Linked DNA regions of Drosophila melanogaster. Changing the gene in region 1 together with any one later gene gives a genetic interaction. Each region holds a gene or a part of one and is shown in the gene's direction. Other genes may lie near its edges.

Region 1 (4,678 bases):
TGTTAAGACAAGGGCCGAGTGCAAATTATAGCCAGGGGCCAAGAAACTTATTGCGAAGGCCATAATAACATACAGAGCAGCGCAGAAAACCCATATAATTCATATAATACTCGTGATATATGTAAGCTTTTATTGACATTTTGAAGCACCTGCTTGAGGTTTTAGCCCGTTCAGCGTTTATCACACAGCTATTTACACGTCATCGTTGCGCCGATGAGTCCTTGTCTTCGGTTCCTTACAGTTCCTTATAGGCATTGCATATAGCTCAGCTATCGTAATAACGGTGCACCGCTTGTAGGCCTGGCTATTTCGACGCCACTAGCGCCTTATCACATGTGTTTTCGGTATTTAGGGAGTACCAGTTCCAGTTTCCAGTTTTGGGCATGCCCTGTACTAACCTAGACGACCAGATCACCGCTCAGACACTGCGGGGTATAAACGTTGGCCAACGAGTCCCAGCCACAGTCGGCCAACTGATGGGTCCTGTGGGGATTCCAATCCAATCCGCACACGAACTCCGTGTGCCGCGCATTGACCTCCTGGGCGGACTCACCACGCTCCAGATTCCAAATCCTAAAAAGGTGACAAAAGTGGACAGTTGTTACTAACCATAAAAATGTCCTGTTTTTTGAAAGCCTAAGATCATTCCACTTACCTTGTGGTAAAATCATAATTGGCCGATGCCAAGACCGCTGCCGAGTGCGGTGAACAGGCCAATCGCCGGACAGCGAATTCTCCAGAGTACAGCTCAAAGACGTGCGTCCTCATCTTGCGCAGATCCCAGCCGCGGATCAGACCGTCCGAACCTCCAGTGACCAGGACATTGCGATCGAAGTGCGACCAGTCGCAGCATAGTGCCTCACTCGCATGCGCCTCGATGCTCATCAGGGGTTTACCTGCAAAGTCAAGAGAGTTCCATAAGTTAAGATGTCCATCGGTACTTACGCTTGCAAACAGATTGGCGATCAGGGGCGAGAACTTGGCCCCGTAGATCAGATCGTTGTGGCCCACAAATGTGGTGATGGAGTTCTGTCTGTTGCAGTCCCACAATTTCAGTGTACAATCCCAGCTGCCCGAGAGCAGCGTGTGGTAGTTCCACTTCTCGCCCCAGTCCAGGCTGTACACCTCGTTCTTGTGCTCCTGCAGGCAGATCAGCGGCTGTTTCGGCGTCAGCTGGTTGCTCGCCGATTCGCCATCCAATCCGCACCAGATCTGAAGCGATCCATCTCCGGAGGCAGTGGCGGCGATATCGGCGGCATACGGACACCAGGCGACGTCGAACAATCCATCGGACCACTCTAGGCGGCACAGCTCTCCGAGACTCTGGCCATCTGTGGATGAGGAATTTGTGTTGGAGTTCTGTTCCAGCAGAAAGAGGGAACCACCTCCAGCAAGACCGTACAGTTGGCTGGGTATCGAAAAAAAATGGTTTTCTATTAGTATATTGTTGGTTTTAGAGCTTAAGATTGATCTCACCTTGTAGCTAGCAGCAAGTAGTTAGCCTCGAAAGGCGAAAAGCGCAGGCTATAGCCATGTCGGTCTGTGGTGGTGTGTGTCTGTGTCTGCATCTTGGTTCTAGATCTCAACTGCAAAGAAAAAAAAAGGAGAGATTCAAAATAATACCAATTTCTCTGGACCTTAAATATTATCTAACATTAACTACAATGAATTGCGACCTTTGGTAAGCTAGTTGTAAGAAATGCCAATTTCAATTATACCTCTCACATTAAAATCAATATATCGACGTTTGATACATAACAAAATTAAAAACATCTAAGGTTTCTCCTTGCTGCCCACTGATGTTTGGCTAAGAGAGAACAAAACTGGCCGATTGATAACAACCCGGTAACACCAAATCGGATGCTAATCCAGCTCCAACCTACCATGCTCAATTATTCAACAGTTGGCCAAATGACCTCGTACTAGGTCGGAAAATCGGAAAAAGATACTTGACATTAGCCAATTTGCTCGGGCAAGTGGCAAACTGCGCAGAAAATAGAACAACCCCTGGAAGCAGCTTGTTTGCAGTTTTCCCTTAGTTCCTATGGTTCTATCTTATTGTCGTGTTGGACAAGCCAACAAACAAGTGCATAACGAGCAAATCCAGTTAGTGGCCAGAATGAAGACCCACGGACAGGGCCAGGGCAAAGGTATATAAGCAGGTTGTACGGCACTTGGGTTTCGCATTTTCCTCCGCCGAACGGAAAACTCTATAACGCGCATCGCCCGACTTAGCCTCGAATTGCCCAGTTGCATTTGCCAGGAATCAAAGAAATCCACTAATCCACAATGGTTGTATCCGTGAAGGTCTTTAAGAAGGCCACGCCCAACGGCAAGGTCACCTTTTATCTGGGACGCCGCGACTTCATCGACCACATCGACTACTGTGATCCCGTCGATGGAGTGATTGTGGTGGAACCGGACTATCTAAAGAACAGGAAAGTCTTTGGCCAACTGGCCACCACCTATCGCTATGGTCGCGAGGAGGACGAGGTCATGGGAGTGAAGTTCTCCAAGGAGCTTATCCTGTGCCGGGAGCAAATTGTGCCCATGACCAATCCCAACATGGAGATGACACCGATGCAGGAGAAGCTGGTCCGCAAACTGGGCAGCAACGCCTATCCGTTCACCTTCCACTTCCCGCCCAATTCGCCCAGCTCCGTTACTCTGCAGCAGGAGGGCGACGACAATGGCAAGCCCCTGGGCGTCGAGTACACCATCCGGGCATTTGTGGGCGACTCCGAGGACGATCGCCAGCACAAGCGGAGCATGGTCAGTCTGGTGATCAAGAAGCTGCAGTACGCTCCCCTCAATCGTGGCCAGCGTCTGCCCAGCTCGCTGGTCAGCAAGGGATTCACCTTCTCGAATGGCAAGATCAGTCTGGAGGTTACGCTGGACAGGGAGATCTACTATCATGGCGAGAAGACGGCTGCCACCGTCCAGGTGTCGAACAACTCCAAGAAGTCCGTGAAGAGCATCAAGTGCTTCATTGTGCAGCACACTGAGATCACCATGGTGAACGCCCAGTTCAGCAAGCATGTGGCCCAGCTGGAGACCAAGGAGGGCTGCCCCATCACTCCGGGCGCCAATCTCACCAAGACCTTCTACTTGATTCCGCTGGCGGCTAACAACAAGGATCGCCATGGTAGGATTTGGATGTGATAGTTGTGATTCTGGATAGTTTCTAATGGATTATTTAATTGTGAACTCAGGTATCGCCCTGGATGGTCACTTGAAGGACGAGGATGTCAACCTGGCTTCATCCACCATGGTGCAGGAGGGCAAGTCCACGGGAGATGCCTGTGGTATTGTCATCTCGTACTCGGTGCGCATTAAGCTCAACTGCGGCACTCTGGGAGGTGAAATGCAGACGGATGTGCCCTTCAAGCTACTCCAACCGGCACCTGGTAAGCTTTAGAAGATTACTTGAACTTGACTTCTAGTTTGTAATTCCTTTGATGTGGTATAGGAACCATTGAGAAGAAGCGCTCGAATGCCATGAAGAAAATGAAGTCCATCGAGCAGCACCGCAATGTGAAGGGCTATTACCAGGATGATGACGATAATATTGTATTCGAGGACTTCGCCAAGATGCGCATGAACAATGTGAACATGGCGGACTAGGCCACCGATCTTCAATCTCTTCTAGCTCTGTTGTGAACCGAATTGAACTAAATCGAAAGCACTGAAAATTTGTTGCAGCAGTCTCTCGTGGAGGCCACAATCTTTGTATTATAATCGTATCTATAATGTAACTTTGGTGGATCTGGAGTTTGTACCCGTACATATGCATGTTGATGAGTTGAACAGACCTCGTGTCGCTATATTATAAATGTGTTATGGCTATCAAAAGCACTCACCTTTTCTCTCGTTTGCGATGTAGTATCCAAAAGTGATTCGGTAAGGATTCGGTTTTTGGTAGTGGATTGTTCTTGGCGGTGCTGTGGGTTTCAACTTCAGAAGTCGAATGATCTAAACAACTGCGCAGCTCGACGACGAAGGATCTGCTGGCAGGAATTCTAAGGGTGATTTTTCAACGATGACAGGGGGTTGAAAAGCCCAATGCTTATAGGTCACATCGTAGGCTTTCAACCCCTTGCAAGAAGCAACAGGCTGCCAGGATATGTGTTCCACCAATCAGGATCAACCAGAACTGGATATGGCCGGCTCTAACGGTCAACGGAAGTTCCAAGCTCCAGATGTTGACAATGCGTTTGCCAAAATACACAATTTTTGTGTATGCTAAATAGCCCAAGCTTTTGACCTTGATGATGGCTAAGGCCGCCAGCTGCCAGCAGTTTGATTCTAGGTCTCATCCCCGTCAGTCTAGCTGATTTTCCTCTTTTTTTTGGTTTTTTCTATTTTACAATTTTCTCGCATTTTATTTGCCATATCTTATATAAGCCCTGCAGCTGACCGTTGGAGCATTGCACAATCCGGGGCAGCAGCGTCGATCGATTTCACACACCGCTGACTGCTGGGCAAGTGACTTCCGGCTTTTGGCCAAGCCCCGAAAAGTGGCCAACTATAAATGGCTATGTTGTTGTCAAAATGCTGCCACAAATTTGACGAGAGTGCAACGCGATGGATCTGCCAATTGGAAAGTTAAACGGACTGCTAAAGATGCAAATATTCCTCCTGCAATTGTTGCTTTTCGTTTCGCCGGCATTGTTGCAGC
Region 2 (4,678 bases), on another chromosome or scaffold:
CCTGAACTGTCAACGCATTGAAAATCGCTTGAGTGACTGCCATAGGTGACCACGCCCCTTAACCCTCGCACCAAACACTGAAAACAAAATTATTTCGTTAGAAGAATATTTAATTCAGACAACATGTTTATATGTTTTATATTTGACATTTTTATCTATTTTATAGTTTGTAGGTCTTCTTGTTAATAGTTTCAATTCATTCATTTCGTATCGAAGAGAATACAAAAGTAATTTTATTTTTTTTAAAAGTGTTTCCATTCGACGCCGGTGGCAACGGAGGCAGAGCGAGAAAACATGTCCACACAATAAGGAAAAATAAAAGAGTTTCCATAATGAAAATGTCAACCCGTTGGCGGAGTACAAAGTCCATTTTATTGGCCCGGGGGGAGTACTTCGGGTTGGGGCAGATAAATAAGAGTATAATACGGCAGCAGAGGTAGACAATAGTTCACAGACTGCAACTGCGAAATATCACGCGTGATTCATCGGCTGCGGCAGCAGCAACAACGGCAACTGCAACACCCACGCACGCACAAATGCATGTGGAAATGCAAATGCGTTTTTTATGCTTGTTAGAGCAACGCCTGCGTCGCCCGATGGAAATTGTGAACTTTTCTTGTTTATTAAGCCAGCCAAGTCGTAATTATGCAAAGCGGGCCAAGAGCTACAAGTATGCTGCTGATGGAACGAGAGCGAATACTATAACTAATTGTATACAAAGGGGCCACAACAAGTTATTACTAAGGGCTTGCCAAGGATATTTATATCTGGATTAGTGCTCATAAGTTCGCAGAGATTTCGGTCTTAATTATTAATCTTACTACTAAATATTGTTTGGTAGAAATGGTATACAGAAAATTTTAAATTACAAGTCACTTCATTTACGTTGGTGACTAATTAGCAATATGATACCATTTTGCTGGTGAATTTCCCAGCAAAGGCGGCAAGTCAGATTTGATCCGGTAATTTGATTACACAATTGCCAAATATTTGTCAGGACCGAAAAACGACTCAACTGCCATTGTACTTGAACTCCGCACTCGATAAGCGAACCAGCCAAAGTGCAAAACCGCCAACATGCAACCAACAACAACCGGCAATCGACAACTAGCAGCAACACCAAAAATACACAGACAACCGAAATCGCAGTTAGCGGACCGAAATTGCAGACAGAAACACGGTTTGTGGCATTCAAAAGCGATTTGCACCATCAGATCATCGAGATAAGCATTAAGAATCTTTGACAGAAATTGGCTAGCTTTGAGATACAATGCATTTTTCTCCGTTTTAGGGATTAACTTGGCATAGAAGTGCAAAATATAGAAATAAGTAATAATGATCGAAGTCAACAAATTCATGAAATTTTCAACTTTACATTATATACTTTCAATGTCATGAGATTGTCAAGTGGAATATAAAAATCCTATTTAATTTATTATACAATATTTACATGTTACTAAAATAGACCAAGTAATAATATATGCTATATTTTAGAATATCCTCATCCTTGATTAAGTGCTTTGAGAAATAAATGAAACCTTCTCGAAAAGGGTATGTGATTTTCCCTCTGGCATCGGCGGAAACTTTTGCCTTCAGGGTGCCGCTGGCGTCGATCGGCAATCGCTGGATGAAAACCCGACGTGACCCGCTTTCTGGGCCTGCGGCTCAAAGGGCTTCAGCCCTGACAGTAGCACCCACTTTGGTGACTTGGACTCAGATTGGGTTTCAAATTTTTGGCATCTCCGGCTACGACAATTTGGCAATCATTTGCATATCGATGTAGCGATCGGTGCAGCTTTTGCCGGGGAACGTGTTGGCATTTTGCAGAGGCTACATCTGCCACAAAAGCTTCCAACTCAATTAGAAGCCTTAGCGTCGTTTTCATGTTGTTTACCCACAGTTGGGATGCGGCGCATACTGAAAACGAAACTGAAATGCGAGTTCAATGTTTTGATTTTGAAATGGGCTCTGAAAATCCTTGAAAAGTGTCATCGGCCGGCCACAGCAGATTAATTTACAAAATAGTCGAAATTCTTCCGCAATAAAATGTGAAGAAAAACAAAAGCCTGCGGTATGGAGATGATCTATTTATGAGGCGAAATCCACTGCCCGAGACGTGTCTCCTTGCGGCAAAGAGTCAACGCACTTCGCAGCTCATGAATTTTACTACAATTGCCGCTTTACGCACTTTTATCTGAATATCTGTTGCCTGAAATTCTGTTTTCCTCCTTTTCTTTGTGCATTTTAATCTAATTTATTATTGCCGGCGAGGCGGAATTTTTCTTTGCGTAAGTTTTGGACCGATTTTAATGCTCAAGGGGAAAATGCTTGACGTGTTAAGTCTGAAAACTTGTGGTTTCTAATATGTAATGGAATATAAAACATTATTTTTTTTAGCTTATCTCCCACTTAAATGATACATTGTTGAACCCTCGTATCATATATAAATTTATATATTTTCATTAAATTGCTGTCAAATAATTTAAGTTGAACCCCTATGTGACTAAAATAGAAACCATTTTAGTTTAAATAAATTTCTTTGAAAATCTAATTAATACAAAAATCTACTTCTCTTTTGCGACATCTGGCGCTCAGAAAGTATACTAAACAGCACTGTGGCTTGAACTGCTTGCATGGTGGAGGTATTCGCTAGGAGCTGGCAGTACTAAAAGCAGAGAACACAACCGGAAGCGTTATTCCACAAAATGTGGCCTTTTAAATTATATGTGAAAATACGATAAGTACCTTAAAATACCGAAGGCGCGCAGTTTTCAGTATAACAGCTGGCCGAGTAACTGGCCACACCATTCCAATTAGAAAGAAACCTATTTAAGCAAAACGCATCGATCTCTCCGTAATTTTTTGTCCGCTGAGTAATCGGAAATCGGCAACGGAATAATGGGCAATTTCGACGGCGATTCTGGAACGGTTTTCGAGCAGAGCTATGCGACGACCAACGGAAACGGAAAGGTGCCGAATGGCAATGGGGCGGCAGATCTCAGTGCCCCGGAAAAACAGGAACTTCTCCGGAAGTTCTCGGCACCCGCGTACACTGAAATTCGCACGCGACGCTGCCAGCCGAAGCCCGCAAACGACGCCCAGGTGAGCCAGGCATTTTCGCTCAGTGTGCGGGGTGAAACGCGAGTTAAACACTTGGACGAAACGAAAATAACGAGCTAAAAGGCCATAAAAATTGGCCAAAAATGTGGTTCCATAGCTGGTTCCATTCACCCTCTCGCTCGCTCTTCCAGCCGGCGAATTATTGATTTTGTGTGAGAGCGAGGGAGCGCGCATAAGAGAGAGGGAGAGAGAGTGAGAGTGAAGGCGTGCGTCAGCTGGAGAATTTCGGCCCAATTTTTGCTGCCCTTTTTGGCGATTTTCCTCCGCTTTTCCCGCTTCTGGGTCATCGGGCAGCCACAGCTGTTTTCCCTCCACTGCAGTGTTTTCCTCGCGTGTTTTCCTTTTCGCCGCGAGTGCTGACCATTTGGCGTATTTTGGCTACTTCCGGATGATAGAAACTATTAGAACTCTGCGGAAATATCCTATCATCATATACGATCAGAGAGTTATTTCATAAATTGTGATCATGAAAGGCAATTTGTAGTGTTGGAAATTAAAGTATTGGGCAATATTATTTCACTTTCATTATTATAATTTTAAGTAGTCTATACATTCCTCTGAGATAGCTATCTTACAATTGACTAAGCCCTAAGATAAGAACATCAGCATGTTAAAGTAACTTAGATTTCAGAAATTTCATAATACCTATTTTAGATGTGCGTTAAACTGTTTGGTACGCTAGTCCATTTTACCACATGCACTCTCTAATCTAGCCATTGTCTCTTCTTCGGCACTCCTGCACTCATTCGAAATTTTCCTAGTGACTGGAGTACGACCCCAAAGCAAACACACACATAAGTACGTAGTTTGGGTGCACAATGTGTGTGGGGAGAGCGGCACAATGCTGGTCTGGTCATAATATTGTCATGCCACGCCATGCCCGGCTCGCCTTATCAGGCCCATTCCACCAGTCTTTTACGTAAAGCCTCGCAGAATGCGATTCGCTGGTGAATCACAATGCTCCGCAATCTCCGAAGGCAGCGGTTTTGGGTGGGCGTTGATTTGTCGGTGATAAGAGTTTTGTTTTAAAATTCATGGACTCTCCCTGCGTCTGGGCTGCCAAAGAATAACTGTTGGCGGGTATACTTAACCGATTATCATATTTTTTATTATTCATAACTTTTTAAAAAGATAAGATAAACATATTATAACATTACATTCATTGGGTAATTCCGATACAATTCGATCTTTGGGGAGTGAGCAATTGTTAGTTTTCTTTTAAGTACCTAAAGATTTCATTATTGGTAGCTTTGTATTTCTTTTTTTCGGAAAGTAATACAATGGTTTACATAAAATTTATTTAATGAAATAGTTCCGTACCATGGCGACAACTTATTGAAATCATTCAGCTTGATTTAATGGCAACTAAAGACCTTTTCAAATTTTTAATCACACGAAAATAATGTTAGCGCGTGCAAGTCTCATATCTCCAATATCAACGGATAGAAAACTTTTATCAGCTCGGCAAGATTACAGTATGCATGATTTCAAAGGTAAAGGCTTAAATAAAAAAGAAATACTTAAGAATATGAAATTGCCAAAGCAATTATCTACTGAC

The links. A genetic interaction does not mean that the proteins touch.
Region 2: of Arr2 (region 1) and lace, changing one suppresses a phenotype caused by changing the other (phenotypic suppression), as found in Drosophila melanogaster (one study listed by BioGRID).

Annotation. Positions count from the first base shown.
Region 1 is NT_037436.4:8,646,437-8,651,114, reverse strand, and holds Arr2 (arrestin 2), read left to right. Parts: upstream 1-2,178; 5' UTR 2,179-2,289; coding exon 2,290-3,145; intron 3,146-3,212; coding exon 3,213-3,407; intron 3,408-3,469; coding exon 3,470-3,624; 3' UTR 3,625-3,854; downstream 3,855-4,678. Other genes in the region: Pex7 (peroxin 7), read right to left, coding at 399-573, 656-1,408, 1,477-1,568; CG13305 (uncharacterized protein), read left to right, coding at 4,585-4,678. UniProt on the Drosophila melanogaster protein: Regulates photoreceptor cell deactivation. Arr1 and Arr2 proteins are mediators of rhodopsin inactivation and are essential for the termination of the phototransduction cascade.
Region 2 is NT_033779.5:15,496,323-15,501,000, forward strand, and holds the start of lace (lace), read left to right. Parts: upstream 1-2,804; 5' UTR 2,805-2,898; coding exon 2,899-3,102; intron 3,103-4,678.